Schizosaccharomyces pombe: one gene and its partners. The gene in region 1 interacts genetically with each later gene. Each region holds a gene or a part of one and is shown on either strand. Other genes may lie near its edges.

What was found.
Region 2: of sgo1 (region 1) and sgo2, changing one enhances a phenotype caused by changing the other (phenotypic enhancement), as found in Schizosaccharomyces pombe (one study listed by BioGRID).
Region 3: of sgo1 (region 1) and moa1, changing one enhances a phenotype caused by changing the other (phenotypic enhancement), as found in Schizosaccharomyces pombe (2 studies listed by BioGRID).
Region 4: of sgo1 (region 1) and rec14, changing one enhances a phenotype caused by changing the other (phenotypic enhancement), as found in Schizosaccharomyces pombe (one study listed by BioGRID).

What each region holds. Positions count from the first base shown.
Region 1 is NC_003423.3:964,418-971,950, forward strand, and holds sgo1 (shugoshin Sgo1), read right to left. Parts: upstream 4,351-7,533; coding exon 4,250-4,350; exon of another isoform or gene 4,188-4,249; coding exon 3,329-4,187; 3' UTR 3,319-3,328; downstream 1-3,318. Other genes in the region: poteasome interacting protein Txc1, read left to right, coding at 2,294-2,917; SPOM_SPBP35G2.04C (uncharacterized protein), read right to left, coding at 4,591-4,848, 5,034-5,454, 5,547-5,617; serine/threonine protein kinase (CK1 family) Cki2, read right to left, coding at 6,540-7,502.
Region 2 is NC_003424.3:3,711,122-3,720,311, forward strand, and holds sgo2 (shugoshin Sgo2), read left to right. Parts: upstream 1-3,020; 5' UTR 3,021-3,065; coding exon 3,066-3,102; exon of another isoform or gene 3,103-3,140; coding exon 3,141-3,180; exon of another isoform or gene 3,181-3,230; coding exon 3,231-3,463; exon of another isoform or gene 3,464-3,506; coding exon 3,507-3,574; exon of another isoform or gene 3,575-3,626; coding exon 3,627-5,192; 3' UTR 5,193-5,464; downstream 5,465-9,190. Other genes in the region: protein kinase domain and HEAT repeat protein Ppk3, read left to right, coding at 425-550, 600-740, 792-893, 946-1,806, 1,847-1,975, 2,026-2,198, 2,258-2,639; bud6 (actin-interacting protein 3), read left to right, coding at 5,685-9,190. UniProt on the Schizosaccharomyces pombe protein: Involved in chromosome cohesion during mitosis and meiosis by preventing premature dissociation of cohesin complex from centromeres after prophase, when most of cohesin complex dissociates from chromosomes arms.
Region 3 is NC_003424.3:3,728,016-3,735,056, forward strand, and holds moa1 (meikin), read right to left. Parts: upstream 1,020-7,041; coding exon 501-1,019; downstream 1-500. Other genes in the region: retromer complex subunit Vps29, read left to right, coding at 1-89; NatA N-acetyltransferase complex catalytic subunit Naa10, read left to right, coding at 1,792-1,882, 1,969-2,163, 2,479-2,581, 2,629-2,685, 2,889-2,976; glutaredoxin Grx2, read left to right, coding at 3,256-3,409, 3,657-3,677, 3,725-3,793, 3,878-3,966; fub1 (PI31 proteasome inhibitor domain-containing protein), read left to right, coding at 4,428-5,225; GMP synthase Gua2, read right to left, coding at 5,722-7,041. UniProt on the Schizosaccharomyces pombe protein: Plays an important role in chromosome segregation during meiosis I by allowing meiotic rec8 to establish cohesion at the centromeric central core and thereby promote the side-by-side structure of kinetochores at meiosis I.
Region 4 is NC_003423.3:2,785,133-2,793,152, forward strand, and holds rec14 (Ski complex WD repeat subunit Ski8), read left to right. Parts: upstream 1-1,762; 5' UTR 1,763-1,845; coding exon 1,846-2,134; exon of another isoform or gene 2,135-2,187; coding exon 2,188-2,807; 3' UTR 2,808-3,274; downstream 3,275-8,020. Other genes in the region: inositol phosphosphingolipid phospholipase C Css1, read right to left, coding at 1-419; protein Gem7, read left to right, coding at 3,338-3,613; H2O2 scavenger glutathione peroxidase Gpx1, read right to left, coding at 3,939-4,415; gamma-tubulin Gtb1, read left to right, coding at 6,338-6,386, 6,449-6,561, 6,611-6,664, 6,734-7,210, 7,255-7,719, 7,770-7,885, 7,944-8,010. UniProt on the Schizosaccharomyces pombe protein: Required for formation of the rec12-mediated double-strand breaks (DSBs) that initiate meiotic recombination.

The DNA of each region.
Region 1 (7,533 bases):
GTAACAATCACCAACTGTAGTAGCTACTGGATCCGATCCCACCTGTGCTTCCTCTGTAGGTATGCAAAACATCCCACATAGGTACATCTATCCCACATTTTCACGTACCCATCCCACATGTATCCATCCTACATACATCCATGTGCTTTGCTATATGCAGAATACAATAGTGCTAAACGCATCAGAATCTTTTGGAAAAATTTTAACCTACTACTGGAATTCATTCATTTCATGAAATCGATTATTAAAGGACGTATGAATCTTGTTTACAAACCCATGAGGGTCTTTTTTGCATACTATGTTTTCAATGATTTTCCTTTGATCAGATAACGAACGCTGCGTGTTTCGGTTATGTGCTAGAAAAATCGCATTCCAACAAACGAGTAAAAATAGAATAAGATGGTTTAGTAATTAAACTCGAGAACGAAAAAAAAAATAAAATAAAAAAATAGAAAATATCGTATGTACGGCTTCTCAAGAAAAATTTTTTTCAAGTTCTTTTTCTTTTTTTGGCTCTAAGTAGGTAAGGCGTATTCAAATCAAAACTCCTTTCCCACTTTTTCCCATGTCTTCCTTGTTTTTCTTTGTTTTTATTTTTCTGTCAAGTTTCTCCTTTTTGGGACATTTATTTACTACTTTTTCCAGAATCTTGTATAAACACCCTATTCCATATGTATCTAGTACTATCCAGTGCAGCGGGACAAAGAGAAGCGTAGAGAAAAAAAAGCCAGTTATGCAAAAATCAGGATATTCGCTAAAGATATCAAGATGCAGATCATTCTCGTTTGTATTTTTTTTTCAAGGATGAAAAATTAGAAAAATAAAAAAAAGTAGAGAAAGAAAATGCAAGAACACTTCTTTGGTCATTTTTATTCAACATCGATTTTCTCATTAAAAATTTCTAATCCTTTCATGCTTTGTTGAACCAGTGAGGCATTTTTCAGTCGCATAAAAATATCAACAACAGGGGCGAGACACGGTTAAGGCAAGGGTTAACAGCGGTTCAGGTCCTTTTGCACGGATTCATGTCCGTAGCGACATTAGGAGTAAACCTTAGGAATATAAAAGTCAACCAAAAAATAGTACGTTCTCTTTCTTTCTTTTTTTTTTTTTTTTTCTCTAAATAATCAAATCCATAATGTTCAATCCTCCCACACCAATGTAATCCCGAATGTACGCATATCCATGTTTCTCTTAATAAACATTCACCATGGAAAAGAAAACACGTTACATATGGCGTGCCATTTCTTTCTTCAATGTAAAATTATACAAAGTTATACTTTTACGCTACCCCCAGCCTTGGCTTGCCCTCCCCCACCCTTCTTTCCATGACTTGTTTCACATCTATAGCGAACCTTTTCCCTTGGTCTTGCTTTGGTTGTCACCGTATTTCTGCGCTGTAACTTTGTCACGTGTCACCGTTCATTATTCTTGCATGTTCAAGCAACCGGTTTTTATCAAAATCCTATACATATATATTGTTACAATGAGCGCCACACGGCCCACATCCTACCCGCCTGGATAGAAACAATGTTACCAAGGAAGAACTTTGGTGTTGTCTTTTTCATGGGCCTTTTAGCTTAGTTGTTCGTATGCCTTGAAATTCTGTTCCTCATACAGTGCTACAAAAGTCTCGCTAATTTAACGTTGAAATTTCTACACTTTCTTTCATCTACCACGTAGAAATTTACGACTGAATAACTTTTTTTTGCGAGAAAACCAAAAAAAAAACAAAAAGGCCCCTTTATATTTATGTATAGATTTTCTTTTATTTATTTTTTAAAATTCTGGTATTCATACTATTCATCGAATATTTTCAAGTTGGTGTTTAAAAGTCAGTAAGGAGGTTGTTTGCTTATACTGTCAACGTTTCTTTGGTACAAAAGTGAGTTTTCGGTTATTGTCTCAAAATCAAAATTTTTTAAAAAGCAATAAAATAATTCATCGTTAAAAAACTACTTTTATATTCTTTCTTTTCAGTTTTGAATTCTGATTTTGATTCCATTTTTGTTTTTCTTTTGCTGAAGACTAGTAAAGCTTCTAAGAAAAATATTTTAACGCATAACGTACTTCTGGTCTCGGGAGGCTTTTTCGCCATATTTTTCCGCTTTTGGTTTTCTTCCTATTAGTTGTTTTGTTTGAGTATTTGCTTCCGAGTGTCGGTCTTACGTCTTAGTGTGCTCGCAAATAACTTTCCCTTTTACTTTTTGTTAGCGAGTTTACCGTTTATTTATTCACCTATCAACTCGCCTAGTCTTGCATTTTTAACGATTTCCTTAGAAGTTTGTACTAAATGTCTGGCCCTCACCATTGTTCCGCTGACTGTGATGAACATCCGTTTGAGTCTGGTCCAAATGATACCTTGTATTCTTGCATCCGAAAGGAATCAATTGTTACGCTGAATGAAGCTGTACCAGATTCCGGAAAACTCGTCTTCAAACCTTGGGACCTTCGTTATGATGACACTGATATCGTAGAAAGTGATGCTGATGACCAACTCTTGTTTCAGGTACCGTTTGCAGGTGCGGCAACACTAAAATCAATTTTGGTTCGCATTTTTCCTAATGAAACCGCTCCACACTCCTTTTCACTTTTTCCCAATCGTACCGACTTGGATTTTGACACAATCGGTGATGTCCAAGCCACTGAAACATTTGAATTTCCCTTGACTTTTGAAGGAAGCCATATCTTCGAGTTTCCTGTTAAGACTCGTCTCTATCAAAACCTTCAAAATCTCAATATCTTCTTCACCAAAAGCGACGGTTCTGATGATCCTACACAAATCGCCTACATTGGTCTTCGTGGTTCTTTTGTTCCCTTCAAGGGTGATCCTGTTGTAACCATTTACGAAGCTACTCCTAGACCTTCAGATCATCCCAAAGTTAACCAAGAGGAGGTTTTCCGTTCTTACTATTAAGCTCCCGGGAAGTTTAGATTCCTTCCTTTTGGTTTTTTCCTCTCTTATTTGAGATTTTTGTTTTACCCAAAGCAAAATAAAAAATATATATGAAACGATACGAATACGCTTTGATTTGGATTTTTTTTAATGACGGTTATTTAAAGAATATCTAACGCCCTTTTTCTTTTCTTTTTCTTAAATGGCTAAGTCTCCATACTTTTTTAGCTTATGTTTAAATGTTGGTTTGTATTTATTGGCCGATTAATTATGTGTTTATGTAAAAGAAATGAGCCTTGATTAGGTTCTTTTTTTCTTCCTCTATTATTTTTTGTTTTTCTCTTGAATTTAAATGTTGCTTGCAGTAGATTAAATTATAAATTAGCTGTGCTATAAATGTGAAAATATTTAACAATGTGACCTCAATATAATTTATGCTTTGCCTCTGGGATGTCGTTTGCGTTTTCTATCAGATGGTAAGTCAAAGTCTCGTCGTAGTTTAGTTCGCAAACTGGGTATTGCATAGTTTATCACTTTGACTGATCGTCTTAGTTTTTCACGTCCATTAATCCTTGGTTGAGATTCTTCAAAATCACATGGGGAGCTGTCTCCGGTTGCTTGTCCTTTAAGGTCAGTTATCTGTTCAGCACTTTTACAAGGAATACAAACACAAACATTTGATGTTTTAGCCTTTTCTTCTTCAGTTTCGCCCTCGTTGATGGATTCAAATTCGTTTTCTTTTAATTCCTTTGAAAAGATGGTGATATTTTTTTGCGGCAATGAGTAATTCACCTCATCTTGTGGTATTTTGTTTACGTGGGCATTGGTTTTATCTTTTAATATACATTTTCCAGGTTTTTCAGATAGAGCCGGAGGACCATGGACTTTTTTTTGGAAATCTTGAAAACAATACAATGGTTGCCCTGTTTCGAGACTTTTAAGTTCATCATTAAATGATACATACTCCAAGCGTTTATTATGCAAAATCTGATAATCTTCTTTCGAATCTTTATTTTCACAGGTTGTAAATTGACTTTTTACATTCGCTTCGAGGAAATCTGATGAACACTTTTTCTCTATAATCTTCAGTAAACTTTGCACTTGTGAAATCTTTTTGTGAATGGTTTGTATCTCAGGAAAGAAGTTTTTTAACAAGTCCTCAGTTTGAGATTGATTGCGAAATCGAGCTTCAAGTTTAACCAAATAACTTTTCAAAGTGAAATTTTCTTGTATCAAATCTTGAATTTCGTTTTCAGATTCTCTAATTTTTATAGAAAGCTGAGTATTTATTCTGAAAGTTAGATGTTTATTATTTACCACAAGGGATTCAAAAATGGTGTACTTTGACCTTACTTTATAATTTCACGATTTTGTTTTAAAAATTTCTTTTTCAACGACTCCATCGGCAATTTATCTTCATTGTTTATATTTGAATTTATAAATTGAAAGTTCATAGCTTTTTTAAAGCTTTTTTTGCGAAAAGCAATTAAGGACTTGCTGATGTAAACAAACCTGTTAAGTGTAAGGTAAACAATCGCAAACTAAAGTCTTGTCATATTGAGAAAGGCTCTTTTCTTTAAGGAACTTGCCAAATCAATGTAAATTAGTATATAATAAATTAGATGAAAGATGGTTGTACGACTTAATGCAGCCCATATCCTGAATAAAAATTGATAAAAAGAACATAAAATTAATTACTGCTTCGCTATCCGACAATATCCATCCAACTCCTGAGAGATTAAATGTAATATTCGACGAATTCTTTCATCAAACTTTTGGAAATAATGATGCAATTGTGAGAAATTAGATTCGTCCGTGGTCTTTCCTATTGCTATAAAGTTAGAGGACAAGGGAGCTTTATACTTTTTGAAAACACCTCTAAAGAATTCATAAGCTTCCAGTATACTGGTGAGATAACCATGAAAAACAGTACAAAAACTGAGATCGTAAGTCTAAGTAAGTAGTCGGTTAGTATGCATCATTAAGAAAACGTGTTAAACATTGGCATATTATATCAACGAACGTTGAATTTAACTACATGCAAAGGTATAACATTATCAACCCTAAAAATTGCAGATACGTCTTTTGGATAAGATCCCTTACATAGTAGTCCGCTTAAAATTTATGTAAAACTTACTATAGGTAAAAGCTCCATGTTCTTGCTAGCATGGTCTTTTCCAAAAGGGTATCTTATGCTGTCTAATATTGCTCGAAAATGTGAAATGCTCCTGGTCGTAACGTAAAACCCTTTTTCAGTCAACAAATAATTCCGAAACTCAGCCGTAGTAATATAAATGGAACGAGCAACGTCTTTAGCATCGCCATCGGATTCCTGAATTAGACATTGTATGTTTCTAGCATGAGATAACAAAGCGACCGTTCTAACTGTTAGCCATAAAATGGTAAAGAGTTTCTTATAAAAATGTAATCGTATTAAAATGGGTAGGTTAATACCAGATACGAACCTTTTTTTAAAATTGTTTCTAACCATAAACGAGTCAAGTGCTTTTCGGTCAAGTGAGACTCCATGGAAGCGAATTTTATCATTTTTAGAAAATCTAATAAAGTTAGTAAGTAAACTCATAAATCATTCACTTTAAATTTTAAAACTTCAGGCGACAAACACAGAAATTCTTATAATTACACACACATTTCAAAAAACTTGGCTATATATGCTTCATTTTTATTAATTCTATCCTCAATGGAGCTATTAGATATCATATTTCGAAGCCGCTCTTGTCAATTTTAGACTCAAATCGTTTAACACACATGCACATGCATGTGCACGCACTAAGAAGTTAGAAAAGGGAGATCTATTTAACACCTGATAAAACTTGGGTTAAAACTTCAAGTCTACAGTCTTGATACGAAATTATATCTACGCCATAGAGAAAAAAAAATAAAAATTACATACTATGGTTTGACAGATTTTAGCGTTAGTTTTTGAAGAGGTCGTATACAGCATATTAGGTATACGCTGCAGTAATTATAACCCAATAAGTCAAAATTTTTTCTTTATTTGTTGCTGATTGTTTCCTTTACTAAAAAGGGATTTACCATTACTCAAAAGAAATTACCTAGTTTCCAATAAATCATATGGCATTTGTCCAGTTCAAATACTTTAAGACACGTATAGTTTATTTTTTGAATGTCCAGCTAAAAAATATATTACACGAATCAGTATAAAAAGAATTCCTTTCTTTTATTCTATTTATTTGTAATTGAAAACGAATTAGCTTCCGTTGTCATTTTACCAATTGTTAGTACCTAGAATACATATGGTTTGGTTATATATGTGTATGTATATATTATTTACTACAATAGTACAATGTCAGTTTTAAGACAATATTGAGTTATGTTAAAGGAAAGCAACATTAAAAGATTAAACGAGAACCAGCAAAGTAGGCTAGTGCCAGCAAATTTGCAATCGAAATAATTAAAGAATTTGATTTAAGCACCCGCTCAAAGACGCTATACAGCGTTTCTCAAATTAATATTAAAAAAAGATGAACCATTTATCCCGTACTCTGAAAACCAAATCATCAAATGATTGATATTGTGAAAGCATATCTACCGCATAGTAGAACAACACTTATTTAAGTTAAGAAAGTGAGTGACTCTAACAATAGTTGAAGCTTCGAAACTAAGAAAAGCAACGACAGCATATCATATCAAAAAATCCTCCTTTTGCTTCCGAATCAGAATTATCGTTAGGATGATTTACTCCGACTGCATTATTCGAGGGCTGAGATACATACATAGGTCGAACCCTATCGTAACCTCTAGAAGAATGAGCATAAATTGTTTTTTTAGAAGCAGACTGTTCTTGACGCACCAATGGAGCGTTTTTGCTCGGCAACGCATCGAACGATGAGTAATTTCTAGGACCTCTCACCCCATATGAGGATTTAAATCGCATGTTCTGTGTTTGCAAAGTACTGTTCTTTTTTCTGGAATCATCATTTTGAACAACATTTAAGCCAAGGTAATTCTTTCGTCGCTTCATAGCAACAACAGAAAAATGAGAAGAGCTTGACTCCCAACCTTTACCGTCATTCAATAACATCCAATCATAAACCCCATCATTCGTATCACCATTTGCTCGAAGTACATCATCAAATAACTCTTGTAAAAACGCATAATCCGGTTCTTCATCAAATTCTAACGAACGCACATAAGTCATGTATTTACTGAATTCATTAGGAAATCCAGCACAAAGCTCACTAATGGAGGTAGATTGCTTCTTTTCACTAATCTTTTCGTATTTGTGCTTATTGTTGGCAGCTTTCAATCCTTGCCAAGGTAAACTTCCCCTCAAAAAATACATAAAGACGTGTCCCAACGATTCTAAGTCATCGCGACGGGATTGTTCACGTCCAAGATGCGTGTTTATACTCATATATCTCGCAGTCCCCGAGAGGCTTTTACGTTCACTATATGGTATATGTTGCTTGGTTTTGGGATCACGGTAATATTTGGCCATACCAAAATCAACCATATATACCATGTTTGCATTTCGAGAGGAAGGTCGGCCTATTAGGAAATTATCGGGTTTGATGTCTCTATAAACAAGGTTTTTTTCATGAATCGTCTGAACTCTGGAAAGCTTTGAAATGTCAGAGAAAATTTAAACAAAT
Region 2 (9,190 bases), on another chromosome or scaffold:
ATATTTTCGTCAAATCGAACAACACGTTGTAGAACAGCCATCTTGCTTTTGTTTATTAAGGCGGTATTTTTCCTCTACCTTTTTAGCAGTGGGATTAAAGTACTGTATAAGTAAATAGGGAAATATTATATGAAGTTAGAATCTCTCACTTACTTCATTTCAATTTATGGCATTTAAGCATTTACAAAGAGTGCTCCAGTACAAAAATATCTCAAACCAACATTCAAAAAAACTGCAAAACTAACGTCGTCTTTGTAAACCTTAAGTAGCTGTAAATAATCCAATTTTGCTTCTTAATCCGTACCCATCCCCTCAAAACACTTTTACAGGTTAGCTTGCGTGGGACAACAACCTCCACACTGCGGCATCAATACTCGATGGTAATCGACTAAAAGAGGTTGATCCCTTACTACACTTTAAAATAATGGATTTTATAAAATCAGCAGCTTCTTTTATTGCAAAAGCAGGTTCTCAATTCCCATATGACTTAAATGAGAAAATCCCTCTTTCTTCTAATTCTGTATGGACACTACAAACGGGATCAATTAGAGTAAGAGACAACGCTTTTCTTTATTCTAGTACTTACAATTTTAATGTAGGAGTCTGCCCAGCCGTGTAGCGTTTTCTCTATTTCTCTGTCAACTCATCCTGAATGGGCTGAACTTGCTGACCGAGCTTGTGAGACAATGAAGACCCTTCGTCATCCTTGTATAATCAAATATCTAAGTACTTATAAAAGCGTAAGTCTAATCTAAGCCTTTACATATTTTTCCTATTTACTAATAGTTCAGTCCACTCACTTGTACATTGCAACGGAAACTGTAAGACCTGTCACAACTGAACTGAATGAACTATCTGCGGAAATAAAAACTTACGGCCTTTGGAGGGTTTCGGTATGTAATTTGAGTTCAAAATGTGGATTAAAACTAATTTAAACGTGTTTAGGCTGCATTGTCATTTCTCAATGATAAAAATATTGTTCATGGAAACCTTCAAATGTCTTCTGTTTATCTTAATAGTGCAGATGAATGGATAATAGGCGACTTTTTCTTAGCAGGTGATTCACCACAATTTATAAAGGATAATCATGACAAAATTCTGAACTGGAGTCGGTTGGTTCCGTTTGAAATTCAGTCTTCAACATTAAATAGTGCTTCATTCATTTACTTGGATTCTTATGAATTGGGAAAGTTCATTTCTCATCTTTATAATGGAACGCCAGGGGACTTATCTCAGCGTGGAAACATTCCAGCCAATATATTTGTTTCTGCAAAAAAACTGTTGAATGTGGAAGGAAAGCAAAAGTTATTAGCTTCAGAATTTCTAAAACTTGGCGAGCGTCCTGGGGGGTTTTTTCGTACACATTTGATTACGTTATATGAACTTTTGTCCGAGGTTCGAATAAACGAAGAGGAAGATAGAGTGAAATTAAAACAACTTCTTTCGTCAAAGCTAGAAGTAATTCCTAAAAACTATATACAAAAGGTTGTATTAAACATCCTCTTTCTACTATTATCGATTGACACCCATTCGGACGTCGTTGAGCTTCTATTCAAATGTGCTCAAATTGTAAAAGGAAGACCGGATATAGAAAAAGACTTTGGAGTACCGTTATTGTCTCTTTTGAAACAACAAAGCGTTCCCATACGAGGCTTGCTACTTTCCGGAATCATTAACAATCCCGACGTGCTACCAAAGAATATATATGAAGACACTAGCTTTTCAGTTTTCGCGAACCTTGTGCGCTCCAATTCTCCCACCTTAAAAGAACATGCTATTGTTGTTTTTTCCATTATAGCACCAAAAGTAAGCCATCTTATCTTACAAATTGCTAATTAGTATACAGCTTTCGAAGAAAACATTGAATAATGAACTACTACGAAGCTTAGCGGTTGTCCAAAATGACCAACATCCTACTTTACGTACCAACAGTACCATTTGTCTAGGTAAAATTGCTGAATATTTAGATGCCAGCGTAAGACTAAGAAGAACTAAACGTTAGGACTTTATTTTTAACAGATTTAGGTGCGAAAACCCGTTTTAGCTGCTGCTTTATCACGTTCTCTTAAAGACCCATTTGTTCCTGCTAGAGAGGCAGCCTTAAAAGTACTCCTCTCAGTTCAAAATTACTTTGATACAAAGGATGTGGCCATCAAACTTTTCCCATCGGTGGTGCCATTACTAATTGATGAAAACGAGTAAGATTTTTTTGAACCTGTATACCACTTAGGAATTACTAACTTTTTGACGTTATTAGAGGAATACGAAGAACAGCTGAGGATGTCACTGACCAATTTTTGAGCCGTATAAAAAACTTTAATTTAGGGGAAAAAGAAAATGTTTCCGCACCGGCAAAATTTAATGGTTCTTTTTGGTCCAAATTTATTCATTCATCTTCTGCTTCTCCTTCGCCTTCTATCGATATGAAAAAGGAGTCGCTTGAGTTAAAAAATGATACCACTGAAATAAAAGAAAAAAAAAATTCAAAAAGTAGAGTTGTTGGAAACACTGAAAACTCTAAGGATGAATTCAATAATCCTCTTTTTGAAACAGAGGAACAGATAGACGAATCTTGGATGGAAAACTGGAATGACGAAGAGGAAACAGAAAATAACGTAGAGGAAAGTTGGGGGTTATAATTTGATTGAATTTAATTAATAATTTTTCGTGGTCAAGATTAATTCACGACTAAATCACATGTCGACTAAGTACTCCATGTACTACTCGTTTTGACATATTTCAATCAAGCTTGATTTTTAATAATTAATATTTTTAATAGCTAATTATTTTTCTCTTTGAACATTTATTAATACCACTGAAAGGATTAGTGAATGGTAGTTCTTTCTTTAGTTATCTATCTATTCGTAAATTCAAAGTATAGTAAATGTAAAAGGATTTTAATGTTCTTTTCAAAGAGTGTATCATTAGTAGTCAAATAATTCGTACTTCGACTATCCAGCACCTCTACACCTTGTTGATAATGATACTGCTGTACAGCCGCGTTTAAGTACTAAACCTCCACCGGGAACGTGGTCAATGAAGTACATCGGGATTTTCTATTTATAATGTCGAAAGCATCTCTTTCCCCGAACGTAGAAGACTGTACGTGATACTTATATTAATCTCAACTGATGAATTAGTGAAAAAAAAGCAAATTCGACAGTATAAGGAAATTATACGGTACGCATACATTTTTGTTGGAATTGAATAATTAATTAACACATACAAAGAATAAGCAAGGCACAATCAATTAGAATTAAAGAATTGCAGTTAGAAAATGAACGGTTGCTTTCGGAAAATATCGATTTGAGGACTACAGCGATAAACTTGGAAGAGCAACTCGAAACCGTGCAAAACGAAAACGAAGAAAACAAAACAAAGTTAGCTGCATTACTTAATCGATTTCATGAAGAAACAGATAATTTTTTATCAAAATTAAGTCTTTGTCAGCAAGAAATACAAGGTACGTGTTTGAATTCATATCGTTTTTAGCTAATTGAACACAGACACCTTCAAACCAGTGGAGGCTAACTTAGCTTACGATGTCGATACGGATTCTGAAGACCTTGACGAGGTAAGTTGAATCGTATTATGTTTTTCAGATATGTTTATCTAACGTCTGAAAGGAATCCGTCGTGAAAGATACCGAAGAAATAATTGAGCAAGCTCAGCATGATGTTTCCTTACGAAATTTAAGTGGAATAGAGGATGAAAATATAATTGATGACGGAGAAACTGCTATAAATGAACAAAAAAAAAGAGAAGCTAATGTTTTTTCCGACACGCAATCAGCACCTCAGCTAAAATCCGGCAAAGCCCTCCCAGCTGATTTTGAAAATCCTTACAATCTATCCAATTCGAAACCTGTAAATAATAATAATGAAGATAGAGTTGAAGCGGTTACTTCTGAAAATAAATCTATCGATTCTGCTCCTCAGGAAAAAAATCATGAATACGAAATCGTTAGTCCAAAATCATTATCCAACAAAATTAATAATCAAGCAGCTGCACAAAGAAGAACCGAAGAAGATAATGCAAATGGAGTTGCTCAAGAAGAAAATGAGGGTTCACAAGAAGCTCATTTTCATAGCAGAATACAATCTGATACAGTAATACAAAGTACACCCACTAAACGGAAATGGGACGTTGACATTCAAAATAAACAAATTAATCTGGCTTCTGCAGCTACCAATGTTACCGGTTATGTATCGGAGACCGATAGTCGCCCCAATCGCGCAAACTCTTTGGATTCTGCTGTCCTTCTTGTGCAATCTTCAAATAAAAGTAACCGAAATGGGCATCATATTTCAGATCCTAATTTAAATAGCTCCATATCGTTGAAGTTTGCGCCTGAAGATACTGCGCATAATTCATTAACTTCACAAGAGAATGTTGGGCCTCAGGTTACGACGACTTCTCTGTCAAATATGACTGTTGCTGAATCTCCTCGTACAGACACTCCAAGGGAAATAAACGGGTTAGTAGACTCTTCTGTCACTAATGGGAACGAAAAATTTTCTGTAGAAATAATGAATGACTCTAACAAAATTGGACTGAATCCTAAATCTTTTACCGACGAAGAGCGGGAAATTTTAACACTTTTTCGAAATCCTCCCATGAGACTGTCAAGTGAACCTCCATCTTCAAATGGATTTTCAATAGCCCATCCCAATAATTCTCCGTTACGTCCGCCATCGCTACAAGGAATATTGAATGCTGAAGATCGACCTTACGAAATTGAGCCGTCACGTAGCTCCTTTGCTACCAACGATACGGGCTCCTATAATAATTTGGAACTTCTGTCATCTGTAACGAATTTGAAATCCCCTAATGAGAACGATCGTGTGACGAAAACTCAGTCGCGAAGAGAAACAAAAGTGAAAAGGCGAAGAAAAGCTCGGATTCAAGAAACTTCTGAAGAAAGTACAGTAGTCAATGAGCCAAATGAAAAACCTGATGGAAGGAGCCGAAGGGAACGGAAAAAGGTTAATTACGCTTTGCCTGGATTAAGGACGAAATTAAGACGGAATTTCGATTTACCTTCAGATCATGTAAAAGCTAAAAAAACGAGACGTGCTCCTAAGAACTCTGAGAATGATTCAGCTACCAAAACAGAAACCGCAAACATTACTTCTGAAGCACCCACTACTTCAGAAGTAACCCTTGAAAACTCCGAAACCCTTAATTTGTAATATTATGTAATTAAATACCTTTCGACATCGTTTAGTTGGTTCAGATTTTTTAAGTGGAGGTATGCGTCAATTTGAAATAAAAAGTCAATATTTTGGGAGTTAACCTTTGGTATTTCATATTACTTCTTTCTTTGTTTATTCACATTTTGTTCTTGTCATTAACGTTATGTACAAATATATGGTTTGGTTAGTTAAATACAATAAACAGGTGTGTAAATATATTATAAAATTACTTAGCAATCCTCACAAATTCAATTTACTATGTACCTTAGCACATTCATCAAGTAGTCCATTTCTAGTGTACCTCGATCGCCCTCGGTGGAAGTACTAACCTACGCAACTGAGTCTAATAAGTCAATATTCTTATGTTTTGTATATAACAAACCTAATTGGTTTTGTGTTTTCTCTTATGTTTATTGTTTTAAGTTTAAGTTGAACTTTCAATCCTTTTTTTGCGATTAGGATCATTGCTTTACTCATCTATTGGGACCAATGTTTAATAACGGCGATAATATGTCTCGTGAACGTTTTTCTTCCAATCATTCAATGCAAAGACAAAAGACTGAATCTCGAGCAAATTTTTCTCGAAGATTAGTCCCTTCCGACTCAAATCGGAAGCCTGTACCTAATGGCGCGTCCAACAGCCCTTTGTCAAGAGATGCAGCGTCTCATTTAATTAGTACAATCGAGACATCGATAATGAAGCTTTTAGTTGTAACAAAGGAGCTTCTTGAAAGCTTAACAAACTGGAGCAAAGGTACAGTTAATGATAGTGCTGTTTCATCCGTTTATGTTACTCTAATAGGGGAATTCCTTCAGACAACCAAGTCCTTTCATGAAGCTGGTATTGAAACTGCAGATTTAAATGATTTTCCGCTAGAACTCAGATCAGTCCTAGAGCAAACACTGGAAAAAACACCATCTTCTGATGCTTTGGAGACCAATCTTCCTAACGTAAGGGAGCTGGTTATGCACCTCCTACAAAGCTTGAAGTATAAGCAATCTCTGGTTAAATCCAGATTAAATCAATCTAGGTCAAATTTGCCTCAAATGACCCGTGAAGCGAATGATAACGATGTTAATCGCCGTAATAGTCGTGGTTCTTCCCAAGGAAGCATATCATCATTTAGAAATCCTGATTCGAGAAAGCAATATGAAGAAACTACGAGTGCCTCATTAAGTGCTCCTGGAGCCTTTGATGCATTGAAGCAGACAAATGCTCTCGAACGCCGAGCTAGCAAACGACTGTCACACATGGTAAAAGACCAGCAAAACAATGAGGGATCTTCTCAGAATTTGAGGAATATCACTGTTGAATCTGTCAGAGGCTTTCTTCGTGATTCCTCAAAGCCAGACAATATAATGGACTCACCGTCTCCCAAAGTATCTAAAAGGCCATCTATCGTTAGACAAGATAGTCATGATTCAAATAAGCTTTCAAGAAGACCTACAATAAATACAAGTTTTGATAGAAAGTTTTCACCAAAACTTACTAGAACACCTTCTTTGACTAAATCATTAGATCCTGGAACACCCACTTCTTTAAAAAGCCCTTCTCTTCGAAAAAGCCCCAGTTCTTTCGTACAAAAGGATGTATACTCTCGTTCTAACTCTTTAAGAATAAGTCAAGCAAATCGAAGTAATGTTTTTCCGGGTGCAACTGATGTAACTAGAAGCGTGTCTGATCATAGAATATTAAGTAGCTCAACCATCAATGACGGAGAAGTCGCTCCGCCACTTCCCCAACGATCAAGGACTATCTCTTCCCCTAATAGCCCATTATCTGCTACAGTCCTTCCATCTAGTACTCCGATTTTATTGCCCAGAGGTCGTTCTTCAACACTATCTGTTAACAAAAAACAATTTAATGCAGATGATGGTTCTACGTTGAATTCGCCGAATTCCATTCGTGAAACTGAAGAATATGCTGCTTCGCCAAAATTGGAAGATATCGCTGATGAGGTTGAGACGGATGCCACAAGTCAGAGGGAACTCCTCGAAAGACAAATTCAAAAAGCAGAATCCTCAGAAGATACCTCTGAAATTGAAAGCTTACAAGGTAAACTTTCATTACCCCAAGTTTCATCTACTCAACAGGAAATACAACCTAGCAGTAGCGTCCCTGAAGCAGCTTCAAATGAAATTGCAGAAAAAGAACCTGCTGTTACTGCAATTGAATCAATAACTGAAAGAAAGGAAGAAGCCCCGGTGATATCTAGTTCTGAAAAAATTGAATCTGGTACGAGTATAAGCACTTCAGATACAAAAGGAGGTTTAGCAAATTTTGAAAACGATTCCTTAGAAGAGCTGGAAAGACTTATACAACAAAACAATGCTGAACAAGATGAACCATCTTATAAATTCCATAAATATGAATATTCATCCGAAGAGTCTGGTTCTGAAGATGAGTTTAAGAGCGAGAAAGATACAAAAGGCTATGTAATCTCTAACGATGACTCGACACAGGTTGAAGAGGATTCAGAAGATAAATCGACTCCAAATACAGGCGCATCTGCCAAATTAATTAACGACCCTTCATCTACTATCACTGTATCTGATGTCTACCCTAAGAAACCTGCCTCTCCTGTTGAAATAACGGAGCCGCCATCCTCGGCTCTTGTATCTGCTACTTCTCCTACTACTAATGTTCCCATCGTTCCCGAGGCCGTCCACCTATCTACCGCTTTTTCTACTGCTCCTGTATCTACGATTGTTTCCAATATTTCTCCTTTACCTACCGTTGCTCCACCTAATGTTTCAGGGTCTCCAAGTGAAACTCCTATTTCAAAGCCGGAAAAGGTTCCTGTTGTTTCTCAGACTGAAAAGGCACTCCCAAAACCGTTGGGGGTAGATACGGAAAAATACTATTTTTTGCGTTACAATAACCAGACCCGAAAAGTCAAGGTTGAAAGTCCTCTATCAAACGCAAATGAGCTGGGCGAACTTTTCAGTAATGTATATAAAATTTCATTTAGTGGCGATTCTTATGAACTAAATATTGAAGACCCCGATACTAAGATAAGTTATCTGTTAGAAGATCTCTCGGACCTTAAATACAAGTCACTAGTTTCTTTTATGTTTAAAGAGCAAGATGCTAACAAGAAGAGGGAAGATTTCCATTCCGGTGAGGTCTCTGCTATTCAACATTCATCTGCACAAAACACTCTGGATGATCATGTTAATACTACCACTCATGAAAGTCCTTCTTCTGCTTTTACAGAAATTCTTGAGCGCTTGAAAGCTATTGAGCAAAATATTTCAACTAATCACACCAACGACTCAGCTGCACTCAAATCGTCAGAAGACCATTCAAAATTGGCAAATAACTTTTCTGTCCCTGATAGTATCGACCACAAGTTTTACCAACAAGTTAAGAATATGCAACTAGAATTGGCTTCTCTTAAACAGATTTCGGCTGCTTTCTTCACCAGGATTCCGTTAAAGATAAAAGATTTTAAGAAAGAGATAAATGCGTTTAATGAAAAGGGATCTCTGGATTTCCAATTTGGAAGAGGATTTGTTTTAAGCAGCAAGGACAGGATTGAACGGGAAGTTAAAAACGTAGTTGAAAAGTTTGATGAGGTAAATGATCAGATTGAACTTATGCGTTCTGATGTGCTGTTGCGCAAAGTACGACCAGGCTTAGATCAAACATCTCAATTAAATGAGGAAAGCGCATACTTGGAAAAAAGGATTCAAACCCTTGAAAGATCTCTTGAGGAAGTAACTCCAATTTGGAAGAAGCAATGGGAACGAGAGTTAAATGCAATTGTACAAGAGCAAGAATTTCTGGATAGTCATACTGTTCTTATATCAGATCTTAAGAGGGATCTTTCCGCATTATCCACTGTCCTTTCAAATGTTTCCGCGATAGCTGAATTGCAAGCCAAGTCCTCCATTAAAAGCAAACCCTTAACTTTGAAAACTGCCACTGAGTCTGAGATTAAAGGTTATCGTGATCAAATTCAGCTAGAAGTACTAAATCTAAAACCCGACAG
Region 3 (7,041 bases), on another chromosome or scaffold:
TTCAAGGAGCAGTTTTAATACTTTATGTTTATAGGATTTTTGATGGAGAGGTCCGGGTTGAAAAAATGCAGTACAGAAAACCAGAATAATCTCATGAAATATACGATTGAACCACGGAATATGCGGTCTTTTCATCGTAAAGAAGTGTTAAATGATAATTAGATGTTTTTCTGTTTATTATAGCATAATCCGTATCTTAATTTACCGAGTATGTAGACTACCGAAAAGTATGTGCTTTCCTTACTTGCTTTTTTAAAATGAAAGAAATGTTTGAAGGTTAAATTTATGCGCTGACTTTATCCACTTTTCTTTGTCGGCCTTTCGCGTCAAATATTGTTGAACATGCTATCGTTTGTCCTGATCGATATGTATAAATAAAATCGTAGTCAAGGTTGATTTGTAAAGCAGGTTTGTAAATCTTTTTTAATAAATATATCATATGAAAAATAGATGCGTTAGTACTTGAAAAGTACGATTATATTCCAGTGTCAGTTAGAGATTTAAAACAATATAATCTCATCAACCTCAGCATCAAATGCAGCGAGTGTTTTGATTATGCTTTCTGTCATAGTTTTTCTGTGATAATACGCAGAATCTCTTGTGATAGAGTCCTTTGTTTGGGTATTCTTGATGTTTGAAACTAACCGTTCATCTGGAACATGTTTAACAGTTTCATTTAAAAATAAATTGGAGCCCGTCCTCATGCAAGACTTCGGGGTCGACGTTGCTACAGGTTTAAGTTTGTAAAATAACTCGAGATCAAATTTTAAAATGTTTAAGCCTTCGTAACCATTTACGGGGAAATCGTCAGCAGTTTTTGTCTCAGGTGTCTTAATTATTGAAAAATCAGATGGAAGAATGTTTGAAAAGGCTTGATTTTGATGAATTGGTAATGTTTGATTAGTTTTGTCTTGTAAAGCTGGACGTGTCGAATTCTTTTTTTTTGAATTTGATATTTTAGGATTCTTGTTTTTTTTTATTAATTTATACTCTAATTCGTTTTCATTATTTATAGCCATAAATGCAATCTATTGTTTTTTTTCGCTTAATGTTTTATATGATTAATGCGGTTTTGTTTACATTTTTACCAATGGGAAAACCTAATGTTCGAGGTCTACTAGCTGAATTTACGAATAACAAATCTTAATGTTTTTTCGTTGAGTTTACTTAGCCTAAGTGAAACCACAAGGCTGCTGTTAAAACTTTTAAAGGAAAACCAAGGTAGTGTGACTTTAAGATAATAAAGGATTCAATCAAGCATCGCTAATCCTTTTTGATTCCACAGTAAACAAAATATGTTATGGTGATTATAAGTATTAACTTAGATTATATAATTAATGGCTAATTAATATAAAGTTTTGATTTAATGTCTTTAAGTGTGCAATCCATCGTAAACATCATTGTCTATTTATAATAAGGATTTCTCATCATCTGCATTGAAAATCAAAACAACTTAGGAAACGCAACATTAAGTAATTAGAAATTTGGTTATGCAATGTGTACTAAACGGCTTGTAACTTAAAAGGAGCTTAACGTCGAACATTGTGAGTCTCCAAAAAACATAGTTTTTTTAGCAAAGCAGTAAATATTTGACGTTAAAATACTTGACAGATAATATTAACATCAAATGAATCTTATCATTTCTAAAAGCTTTGCAGTAGTTGCTTTGCATTCCCTGAATTTCGTTTTACATTCACTGCGCTTTCTTAAAATATGGTATGCTGGAAATTTGATTCCAACCACTAACAAACAAAAATCATAGATATTGCTAAAAATTAAACGATTGGCAAGATGGATATTCGGCCAGCTCGTATAAGTGACCTTACTGGGATGCAGAACTGCAACTTACATAACTTGCCTGAAAATTATCAGTTAAAATATTGTAAGTTCAATTCATTGTAATTCTTGCTGCACGGCAATGAACTTCCAGTATTAAAACAATGATTCTTATTTTCTAATTTAATGTAGACCTTTATCATGCTATTTCTTGGCCTATGCTTTCTTATGTTGCTACTGATCCGAAAGGACGTGTCGTAGGATATGTTCTTGCAAAAATGGAAGAAGAGCCTAAGGATGGGATCCCTCATGGTCATATCACAAGTGTCTCAGTAATGCGCTCCTATCGTCATCTAGGACTTGCTAAACGTCTCATGGTTCAAAGTCGTAAGTGTTAATTGAGAGCGAAGTAGATTACGGATATATCCAAGGAGGAGCTAGAGGGAAATCTTAAGCTTTTTTGCAGTTGTTATCGATGATTATTCCAATATGTATATATTTTATTTTGTGCAAGACTTGGTCTGCTAATACTTTGAATTGTTCATTTGGTGAGTTGGTTTTTTCCTTGCAACAATTCATTTTTTTTACCTAATTTGTTTTCGACAATGTTTCCTTCCTGCTGATTCCTTGATATTTTCGGTCCATTCCTTAAACAAAATTTTTTTAAAAAAAGTAAAAGATACTAACTACTTAAATGAACAGAAAGAGCCATGGTCGAAGTTTATGGCGCCAAATATATGAGTCTTCATGTTCGTAAAAGCAACAGAGCTGCTATTCATCTTTATCGTGATACTTTGCAATTTGAGTATGTTTTTACTCGCCATCATTGAAGAGATTCTAACATTATTTTAGCGTTCAAGGGATTGAAAGCAAATATTATGCTGATGGTGAAGATGCTTATGCTATGCAGTAAGTACTTTGTTGTAAAAACTAGGTTGGGGATGGTTGCATGGATCGTTTAATGAGTATTCTTTCCAAAAACTATATACAATCTTTGTGACAATCGTTCTTTCTTTAGTTTGGTCAACTTCTGTATAATTACCTACGTTGTTTCAGACAATATATGACTGTTCAACGTCATCACAACTATCTAGGTTACTAACAATTTTTAGCAAAGATTTTTCTACTTTGAAATTCGATACACCAGAAACCAACGACGAACTAGCAAAAACCGTTCAATCTCTTGCATTGAACAACTAATAAAATATATACCGTTATTTCTAATTAGTGAATTAGGGTGTAGTGTACGATACTGCAGTTATAACTTCGTGATAGCGTATTTAACATTTGATTGTACTCGCTTACTGGTGTACTAAATATATTTCGAAATAACTCTTGTAATTTCGAGTTTTTGTTTATCACATCTAACTGCCTAATCGTGTCGTTTGGTGTTAGGTAGCCCAACACCTCGATAGTCATACTGTATTACTTGTCACCAATATCCACTGCATTTTTAGACGAATACCTATTTAAGCTGAAATGACTTCTATAGCAAAAGCTTTTGTTGAAAAGGCGATCTCAAACAATCCGGTTACTGTCTTTAGTAAATCGTTCTGTCCTTTCTGCAAAGCAGCCAAAAATACTCTTACAAAGTACTCTGCTCCGTATAAGGCTTATGAGTTAGATAAAATAGGTAAGTATGGTATTCTTCATTTGTTTAAGAGCTGAAGATTCAGTTGATCGATTGTAAAGTTTCTTGAGTTATGTCTACATAAATTAAGTATATGAAATAATAGTCTAATTGGGTTTTCGAAACCTCATAATTGTGTAATGAAACTACGAAAATTTTTGTTTCCTTCCATGATCTTGAGAAATAGCGAAACATTTCAAGTTTTTTGTTCTGCTTTTCATCCTTTTTAACTAACTTGATGTTACACTAGAAAATGGATCTGACATCCAAGGTGTGTTTAGTTAACAAACTGATTTTATCATATGCTTACCTGAGCAGCTTATTTACATGAAAAGACCAAACAGTCTACAGTACCCAGCATATTCTTTCGCAACCAATTCATTGGAGGTATGAACCCAAATTTGTTTTCCTTGACCATTAATATTCTCGTTGGTTTTTCTCTGTTGTTTATTACTAATACATTATATAAAGGCAATTCCGATTTGAACAAACTTCGTAGCTCAGGCACTTTGACGAAGATGATAGCAGAGCTTAAGGAAAACAAATCTTCAATTTTATGATTATCTTTAGGATTTATATAGCGAACGACTTTACAATATTATTTTTTAGGGAAACGAGATAACGAACTGAATGTGCAGTTGCAAAACAATTCTATTATAACATTAAAGGTATCTTTATCTTCAATCAGTTTCTAGTTTCCTGCTCACTTTGAACAGCAAGTTTTCTTCAGTTGCAAAACACACAGTGTGTGCTTTTTTTTGGAAAAAGTTATTTAGCCAGATTACTTTTCTACTTACTATATACCAAGTTTAATAGTGAAATCATTTGACTTCAATCTCATCACCTCTAGTAGTCGCCATGCATTGATTGCCACTTGGTAATATAAATGACACAACAGAAGCGACCTCACGAAGACACACACACAGTACGTACAAAGTGATGTACTTTTCCTTTGTTCACTGAACCCAAGTAATACAATTGGTTTTTCGTATATATTTATTTATATTATTTTTCACTGATCATGAATAACCCGACTTCCGACGATCGTTTACGCTTCCAACAAAAATGCCATAAATCCATGCTAAACACTGGGGCGATATTTAAAAACTGTAAATTACGAAACGGAGATGTTTTGCAAGAAGTCACTGAAAGCTTAACTGAAGACAGTGAATTCAACTACATTGTAAATGAGTCTCAGAATGTTTCTACTCGTTTAATATTTTGGAATAAATGGATTTATATTTTGTGTGCTAATACTTCATCAAATATCACAGCTACAAGGATTTTCCGTTTAGATGATGATCAGCCTTGGAATTTGGAATCTTTAGTTGCAGAGGTTTGTCCAGTTGATACAGATAATCGGCTTGCTGAACATGCTGCACGTACCGCTAAAGATACCTCGGCTAATGAGTTAAATTATGAATCATATCAGGAGAAGAGCAGAGCTCCATTTGGGTTTGCTGGACCATTTGGTGCAATGCCTGGCTCACAACCAATGTTTCCTTCTATAGGAGCAAGTGATTTGTATCCAGCAGGAATCGGAGGATCTGATATGGGCAACGATGGAGGTATGATTCCTACATTCAATCATCCTATTTTTCATCCTGAAAACAGGTCTCGAAATGAACAAGCTTCAGCAAACCGAACTAATATACCACCAGGAGCTCGTTACGATCCCACAGGCCCTGGTGATTTTCGTGGATTCGGCAGGGATGAGAGGAAACCTCAATTTCCTTTTAAAGGCCCGCGATCTCAATTTCCCGGTGAACCTGACAATGATGACTTCATGCCACCTGGTTCATCCGATATGTTTATGTAAATTGGTCACTTTATAAGTATTACAAGAAATGTTAGATGATAGGATATGTTATTTAAATAATAGTAAAAGATTTTGGTTTTGATTTTTTTTTCTTAATATGTGAATTTTAATGCTCAATTTCGGAATAAACGCATACTACTGGATATCTCTACTTCTTTAAATAATTGAGTTTTCTACTATTTGCGTACAAAGTTTAGTAAGTTCCTCTTCTAAAGAGCGCATTTATACAAGTGTTAAGAATGAAACCAGCAGGACCTAATGAAAACGTCTAGTATTTATTTTCAATAGGACGGTCTTAGCACCGAATTGATAATTTCAAAACATACACTCGGGCACATGCCTACTCATAAATTTTTTAAGCTGTTAGATGTTTATTATTTAACCTCATCTAAACTTATTTACTACTACCTGCCACTAGAATCCAAGAACTAAACAAATTTCTAACCAAAAGTATAAAAGATGTAACAAAAGGTACCGTATGCTGTTAGGAACATTATTACTCCATTTCGACAGTTGCCGGAGGCTTACTGCTAATGTCATACAATACACGATTAACACCAGACACTTCGTTGCAAATACGGGAGCTGACCAACTTCAAAAACTTAATGCTAAACCCATCGTACCAATCAGCTGTCATAAAATCAGAAGTGGTAATAGCACGAAGAGCAATTACTTGTTCATGAGTACGCTTGTCACCCATAACACCGACAGCCTTTACCGGTAAAAGAGCAGCGAAAGCTTGAGAAATTTTATCATAATAGCCGTGGTTACGAATTTCAGTAATAAAAATGTGGTCGGCTTTACGCGCAATTTCAAGCTGAGCAGCATTAACTTCGCCAAGGATACGAATGCCCAAACCAGGGCCTGGGAAAGGATGACGCCAGACAAGGCTATGTTCAATACCAAGTAATTCACCCAAAGCACGAACTTCGTCTTTGAAGAGCTCACGAAGGGGTTCAATAAGTTTGAGCTTCATGTCCTTCAAAAGACCGCCAACATTATGGTGGGTTTTGATTGTCTGAGAAGGGCCCTTGAAAGAAATACTTTCTATGACATCAGGATATAATGTTCCCTGCAATAAGTATTCAACTTTACCGTTGGTTTCTTTAACAATTCGCTCAGCCTCTCGTTCAAAAACATGAATAAACGTGTTACCAATGATCTTTCGCTTCTTCTCGGGATCAGTAACACCTTTCAGTTTTCCAATGAACTCTTCAGAAGCATCAACTACTGTTAATTGAATTCCTAAATGCTTATTGAGGGTTTCACGAACAATCTCTGCTTCATTAAGACGCAGCAAGCCATTGTCAACCATAATGGCATGGAACCGATCTCCAATAGCCTCTTTCAGAACCTTTGAAGCAACTGTTGAATCTACACCACCAGAAACAGCACCAATGACATGATCACTTGGTCCAATCATTTTACGAATACGAAGAATTTCTTTATCAACGAAATTTTCCATACTCCAGTTGGGCTTAGCATGGCAGATTTCAATGGCAAAGTTCTTAATAAGTTGCAAACCTAATGGAGTGTGAGTAACTTCAGGATGGAATTGCAAACCAATGATGGGCTTTGTAACATGTGCAATGACAGCGAAAGGAGAATTCTTGGTGCGTCCAATTGTTTCATAGCCATTGGGAAGAGCGCTTAGTCTGTCGCCATGAGACATCCAAACCTCAAATTCTTTTGGCATGGAGTTAAAAAAGCTTTTGAAGACCTCGGTTTTGATTTCAGGTTCCATACTAACTGTAGCTGGACCGTACTCTCTCTCGATACCTGGTTCAACACAACGTCCATTCAACCATGCAATTTC
Region 4 (8,020 bases), 1.8 Mb from region 1:
GCATGCAAATGAGTATTGAACAAAGAGATGATCCTTCCAGAGGGATGTTGTAAACTAGCTGTAGCGACACCCTTTCCAACATACCAATCACCTCTCCAAAAAGCTTGAGGACGACCATTAAGTGGATACTTGTTCATAGAAGATTCAATGATAGGAAACTTCGAAAACATGGCAAGTCCAGCACCCATAGCAGCACTATGGAAAAACCTAGAATAGACAAGATTGCAGCTCACCAAGTTACGAATTTCCTGAAAATCGTAAATCGACCATACTTCTTGAAGAAGAACAATGTCATAATCGCACTTCGCAAGTTTTTCGCCAACAGCTTTCAAACGTTCAGTACGGTACTTGGAAACAAAGCGCAATCCCCAACAATTAAACGAGAGAACACGCAGTTCAGGGGCCTTTTCAACACTCATTGTTGCGAGGTTGGAATTAAAAAGAGATAAAGAAGGACGGAGTTATTGCCGTCAAATGGAACAGTAAAACGAATAGTTTATAATTTGTATGTAAAGAAATAATCTAACAAAGTTTATTAGCTTAAGAAGAAAGAGAATTTAAGAAAAAAATGGATAAAGAGACGAAATTGCTGAATTAGTATAAAAACAAACAAAAAGCACCATCGTGGTCTTAAACCAAGCCAATGTCATTAACAGCATGAATTATAAAGACTCTGTCTCTTTTCTTCCACGAAAGCAGAAGACCAGCAATTTTCGACAAAAAGCTCATAACAGTATTAAAGAAGTGTTTTGAGACATTAAAATACCAATTGCAACAATTACAGCCTCAATGCATTTCATTCATAACTTACCTGTAACTAAGCGACAATATGTGCTTATTAGAACACGTATTATTAAGAAATCAGGAAATTTCTGAATATATACAAGAGGAAAGGTGGCGTGTTAAGAAAGGAAACAAGAGCCTTGTGCTTAACTTAAGCCGTTATTGTACACAGAACTGCGTGATTTTTTACTAATGTCAGATGACTCCATTTCCGATGTGTTAAAGTTATTTATGTAACGCGTTATATTTCGGTAAATCTGTAAACATTGGAGTAGAAGTTATAAATACAACACTATGTGAACTTGAGTAAACATCCATATTCCAGTGTTAAAAATTGGTTTATTTTTTATTTAGTATCTTTTAAAAATCAATATTAAAGATAGTCTTTCTTCCCTTCTGAATTGTGGCGTTTTTAAAAATCGTTTTGTAAGTGTGTTTAAGTCATTCGAAAAAAATGGTATGAATAAACAAGTTGTTCCAAATTGCATAATGAAATGATTAGGTTATCTACTAAAATAATTTATTCAAATTTACTTTACCTATTGCAAGAATCACGAAGCGTTATTTATCGTTTCTCTTGACTTGCTACACTAGACGAGTAAGATAAAGGGAAAAAAGTAATCTTAAATTTTAGTAATTGCTGTTATCTATATCATATAAATTAATCGACAATTATGGGCGCCAGGTCTTTTTATTTCCTGGATGTTAACATTTGATATCTGCTCATCTTTATTTGATCAAACTTCGAATTGTTCAAATTTGAAAAACCTACTATTGCCAAAAGTTTAAACAATTTAATTCAGTGTCACGGTTAACAACTAATAATCTCACCTTCTCATTTCTACCTACAGAAAAGAATTATTTTCTTTCATTCATACTTATAAATTCATCTTTTCACTAACATGTTTAGGGTATGTGCATAGACCGTGTATATCTAAGGAGAACGCAACCACAGTAAACTAAGTCCTGCTAGTCACAGGTTTAAGTATTATAAAGTATTGGAAAGCGCCAGCATTTTAATTACTAATTTTGTTGTATTATTTTCCTTATTTATTAGATACTATGAGGAAAGAGTATCTCGTTAGCCATATAGAAGAAAATGCACATCAAGCAGACATTTACTCTCTCAATGTAGTCGCAGGCAATCTTTGGTCGGCTTCTGGGGATTCCAAAATAAAAAAATGGTCTATAGGTGATGCTGAGCATAGCTTAGTTGAAGAAATAGATACCCCTCATAAACTTGGCGTTCATCATCTAGCAACTAGCTTGGATGAAAACGTCGTCGTTTCTTGCGGATTTGGACAGGATGTTTATGTTTGGAATCCTGAAACTAATGAATTTCGAGACTTGGGTACGAATTACTTTACGAAGAAGCTATGCATTTCTCTAACGAATATGATTTAGGTAATAATGCTCAACATCCCAGCGAATGCTGGTCTTCTTGCATTAGCCCTGATGGACAAACGATTGCTTTCACATCTGTAGACGGGCGTATTGCTGTCTGGGACAATCCAAGTGATTGCAAAATTTCCGAGTTAGATACCAAAGGTAAATTCGGTCTTTGTATAGACTATTCTCCCAATGGAAGATTTATCGTTTCTGGTCATCAAACTGGGCAGCTTTTCCTTATAAGTACAGAAACAGGACGCTTGTTTCATGTACTATCGGGCCACACTTCCCCTGTACGATCAGTGGCGTTCTCTCCTGGTTCAACACTTTTAGCTGCTGCCGGGGATTCTAAAATGATTACTATCTACGACGTTTTATCAGGGGATCAAGTCGGCCAACTTCGTGGTCATGCTGCATGGATTTTTGCAGTAGCTTTCAATCCCGTAGGTGATTTGTTGCTTTCGGCTGATGTTGAAGGAAAAATCAAAATCTGGGATATTGACACCATGGAATGTATTAGTACACAAAGTGAAACGGATGGAGCTATTTGGGCTGTGGCATGGTATAAAAATGGGTTCATCGTCGCAGGTGCTGATAAAAGTATTCGTTGGTATAGAGCTGCTGCTACAGAATAATTGCACTCTTGTGCTTTCTTAATGACCGATGGAAAAGTTTTTAAAAAATAGCAAAAAATTAAGGAGTTTCTAATATTTGGATTAATTATGAATATCAACACTTTACTCGTAAAACGAAAGGATCTTGAAATGGATTATTTTAGGGTAACGCATTTTTCTTTTCACTTTCATCATTACAAGTATGTTTGTATCATTGTTTACTTTCGTTCGATACGCTTTTACTTTTTATATAAATTATCTAAGCATAAATTCCTAAGGAAATACGAATCTCATTCAAAGTTTCCATTGTATTTAAAACATGAGTTGACTCATAATATCTATAAAAGTTTATTTTTTATTTTATAGGTAATGGTTAGCTTAGTTTCTTATGTGTTTTAACTGTATTACATTACGTGCCTAGAAAGTTTACTCTCACATACGATAACGACGCAAACCGTTTAAAACCATGCACATACTGCATATGTTATAATCTTTACTTTGAAGACTTTTTGTAATTCAAGATTACTTTTTGTTGATAAATTTTCACACTAATGGCAGAAAATAATAAAAAGTCTACTGCTTACATCCAGAGGATGCGAACACTAAAATTTTATCAAAAAATGGCTTCTGCGCGAATCCCGATCACTGTGTACCTCCACGATCAACGAGAAGTAAAAGCAGAATTTGGAGCGATAGACAGTAGTGAGTCAAAGTTGGCAGTTTCCAATCTACAAACCGATTGGGGCGTTATTAACAGAGCGGTGATACGAACAGGAGACGTCGTGGGCATCGAATACAATTTGGTGCAGGAAGAAGGAGAACTTTGATGATACATTACGATTTTCAGATACAGAAGCCTTAACAGCCATGGTATTCAATTCAGTGTTTACAGATGAGAAAGCGTGATGTACATAGTATGCATAGTTGTATAGAAGCGCAACATAATTAATGTTATTTATTTAGGAGGAATATTAAAAATAATATCGTAATATTGTATATTTTGCTGGATTAAAGCAAATAACTTTTGCGTCAAACGGATGGTAAATCGTGAAGTTCATTAAACTTCCAAAGGATCAGAAGAATTAGTGTGCCACTGAAATTAAAAGCGGGAAGAAATGATCGCTTACACTGCAAATTTGTTCCAGTATTTTTTTAAAGGACACTCTCGATATCGTTTTCGAGATGTTCAGGCTTGCTAATACTGGAATAGCGTTCGATGACTTGACCTTGACGATTGACCAAGAACTTTTCAAAATTCCACTTAATACGCTCAAGGCCAAGTTGCTTCTTTTGGCTCTTCAAGAATTGATAAACAGGGTCGACGTTGTCGCCATTAACATTGATCTTGGCCAGTACAGGGAAGGTTACGCCATAGTTCTTTTGGCAAAATTGAGCGATTTCTTCGTCAGAACCGGGTTCTTGGTTTCCAAATTGATTGCAAGGGAATCCAAGGATGATAAATCCTCTATCCTTGTATTTCTGATACAACGCCTCAAGACCTTTGTATTGAGGAGTGAATCCACATTTGCTCGCTGTATTGACAACAAGGACCACTTTACCCTTCAAGTTGCTGAAAGGAAAAGGATTTCCATCCTTGTCCTTAGGAGCCAAGTCGTAGAAATGAGACATTTTAACTTACAAAACTCAATACTAATAGAATGAGTAGGTTGAAAGTAAGGTGTAGCGCGGCTGACCGTCCTACTTATGTTTCCAGCTGACCTTATTTCATAATGACATCAGACCTTAGTTTGGGTCAACACGATCTTTTAACAAGAGAAATTTACGTAAAATTAATAAAAATTCCAAGGAAGAAAAGTCGGATCGCATTTATCAAAAGAAATCTTATTTATTTAATCAGTCTCACATTCTTTTTCCTTTGTTTGCTGCTTTTAAAGTTAAAAAAAGGATATGTCGCAGTATACTGCCATTGTCTTTTGTCAACATACCACCAAAATGACAGAAATTTTTGCTGCTATTTAGTAAAAATATTTCAAATTTCGTATTTGTAAAGGTTATGCATAGAATGGCTGAGACTCATACTTAAACAGTATAGGTATCTAAACATTGTATGGGGCGATTGTAGCAGCAAACGATTAAGTAGTTTGCGTTAGTTACAACACCTAGTAATGGTTTGCTACCTTTTGTTTAAAATAATAGTAGACGAGATTGCCAATGGCCGATGTTGTTTATCTTAAAGTTGAAAGTGAAGCGAAACCTTTTTCTAACTTTAAGAGTGGGATTTCTTCCATCCAAAAGAATATGCACTGCAACAAGATATAGGACACAGGCAAATTATTTGACAAAAACAAGGAACCGTATAACTACTTTTTTACTTTAATCTACAAATAAATTAGTAGGATGTAGAAAAAGGTATCAGTGATAGATTATTTATGTATTATCTTAAAAGTATTGTTTTTTGCCCTTTGAAGGGCAAAAAGCAAAAAGGATCAAAATTATGCTCCAGCAGTGACTTGAACACTGGGCCTCTTGCTTACTAGGCAAGCGCTCTACCACTGAGCTACAAGAGCTAGTTGGAATCATTTGCTAAAAGGTATATATATATGCATAACTATTAAGAAATGCTCAGTATTTTTTTGAAATAGAAAATGTTGATATTCGGTTTCTATTATTAAGTTTTAAATTCCAAACATTGTAAATATGTCGTCGTTCTTTACATTCTTTTTTTAATAAATCTTGGTTTAAGTTAAAACCCAATTTTACAAGCTCGCAACTTTGTTGTTAATAAAAAAAAATGTTACACCTGCTAAATAAATATTAAAATCAAACTGTTGTTGTGTGGTATTACCTTATTGAGCTTAATTATAATTTCAGTAAAAATTTATGTTCAATTTTTTTTTTTACTTTCAATTAATTTATTTATTTATTAATTTGTAAAATATTTAGACCTTTGCCAAATAATTATTTGTTAATTTTTCATTTTCTACAATCTGTATTAATTAAGATAAAATTGTCTTCAAAAATACTTTTAGTTTTTGGAAAATCATTTGTTTCAGTGTTTGAGTATCCACATGAATTGTCTAATTTTATATCACTATTATTTTTTTATTCGAACACTCATAAATTGTGTCTATTGTGTTACTTTCAATTTTAATATTTACATTCAAAGTTGCATATATTTTTTACGAAATAATGTACTAAATGATTTAGAAATATTTAGATACGATAGTAATCAATACTAAATTTTATGACACATTCTAAATTCACTTACTTTGGCTTTCTAATTTCCTGTTAGAAAAATTGTCATTCCTAATTGAATTTTGCAGCAATGCTCGAATCAGCTCCAAGGTTGATAAATTTATAGTCAAGAAATATGTAATTATTTATAATAATCTAGTCTAGTTGACCTGGAAAATGTTTGCTTTTCTTACTACCAACCTTCTCTTATCGACCTACAGTTCACCCAAGCACAGCGAAATACCTCAAGATACCCTTCTTTTGAAAACCACCTATTTCAGCAAAAAATCTTTCGCGGTTGTACTTTTAAGTAAGAAGCAAACATCAAAGATTGTTTGCTCCTTCATTGTTTAATCATGGGCAGAGAAATCATTACGTTACAAGCTGGTCAATGTGGTAATCAAAGTATGTTCACCTATACTACTATTAATCAAATCGAAATTCTAATTACTCACAAACTTGTCTAGTTGGTTCACAATTCTGGCAACAGTTGTGTTTGGAACATGGCATTGGGCCTGATGGCACGCTAGAAAGTTTCGCAACTGAGGGTGTTGATCGAAAAGACGTTTTTTTCTACCAGGTTGGTTTATTGATACACTTTAAAGTTTCAACATGTTAACTCATTTTAGTCTGATGATACTAGATACATTCCTAGAGCCATTTTGATTGATCTGGAACCAAGAGTATGTTATCGCATCCTTTTATTAGTATTTGCTGAAATATTCAAGTGACTAATGTCCTCTTTACCTTAGGTGGTCAACAATATTCTAAGCGACACCTACGGCAGCCTTTATAATCCCGAAAATATACTTATTACCAAAAATGGAGGAGGTGCTGGCAATAATTGGGCTAATGGTTATTCGCATGCTGAGAGGATTTTTGAAGATATAATGGACATGATAGATCGTGAAGCTGATGGAAGTGATTCTCTAGAGGGTTTCTCGCTTTTACATTCTATCGCTGGTGGAACGGGTTCTGGGCTGGGCTCTTTCTTGCTTGAGAGATTAAACGATCGTTATCCCAAGAAGATTATCCAAACTTATTCAGTATTCCCTAATAGTCAATCCGTATCAGATGTTGTGGTTCAGCCTTACAACAGTCTTCTTGCATTGAAGCGACTGACATTGAATGCTGATTCTGTTGTTGTGTTGGACAATGCAGCACTTGCTCATATTGCTGCTGATCGGTTACATACTCAGAACCCTACGTTTCATCAACAAAACCAATTGGTAATTGATTTATATTAGGTCTTTTCATCAACTAACTATTCTAGGTTTCAACTGTTATGTCTGCCAGTACAACAACTTTAAGATATCCTGGCTACATGAACAACGATCTTGTCAGTATAATAGCTTCATTAATTCCAAGTCCTCGCTGTCACTTTTTACTAACCTCATACACTCCTTTTACCAATCAGCAAGTGGAAGAAGCAAAGGCCATTCGGAAAACTACCGTGCTTGATGTGATGAGAAGGTTGTTGTTGCCTAAAAACCAGATGGTTTCCGTCAATCCTAGCAAAAAGAGTTGCTTTATTAGTATTTTGGATATCATTCAAGGAGAAGCAGATCCGGCGGACGTTCACAAATCCTTGCTTCGCATAAGAGAACGACGATACGCTTCATTCATTCCTTGGGGACCAGCAAGTATACAAGTTGCACTTTCTAAAAAGTCGCCCTATATAAAAACGAACCACCGTGTTAGTGGACTTATGCTTGCAAATCACACTAGTATTGCCTCTGTATGTTTCTGCAAATTTTTTTTTGAGACATTTAATACTAATCTTTGTAGTTATTCAAGAGAACACTAGATCAATATGATCGTTTGCGGAAACGAAATGCCTTTTTAGAGCAATATAAAAAGGAGGCTATTTTCGAAGATGATCTTAACGAATTCGATTCTTCTCGGTAAGTATCTTGTCTTATAATTTCATATTTTGAGTTAATTTACTAATGTATTTGACAGCGACGTCGTTGCCGACTTGATCAATGAATACGAAGCTTGTGAAGATCCCAATTATTTATCTCTTTAAAAAATCCTTC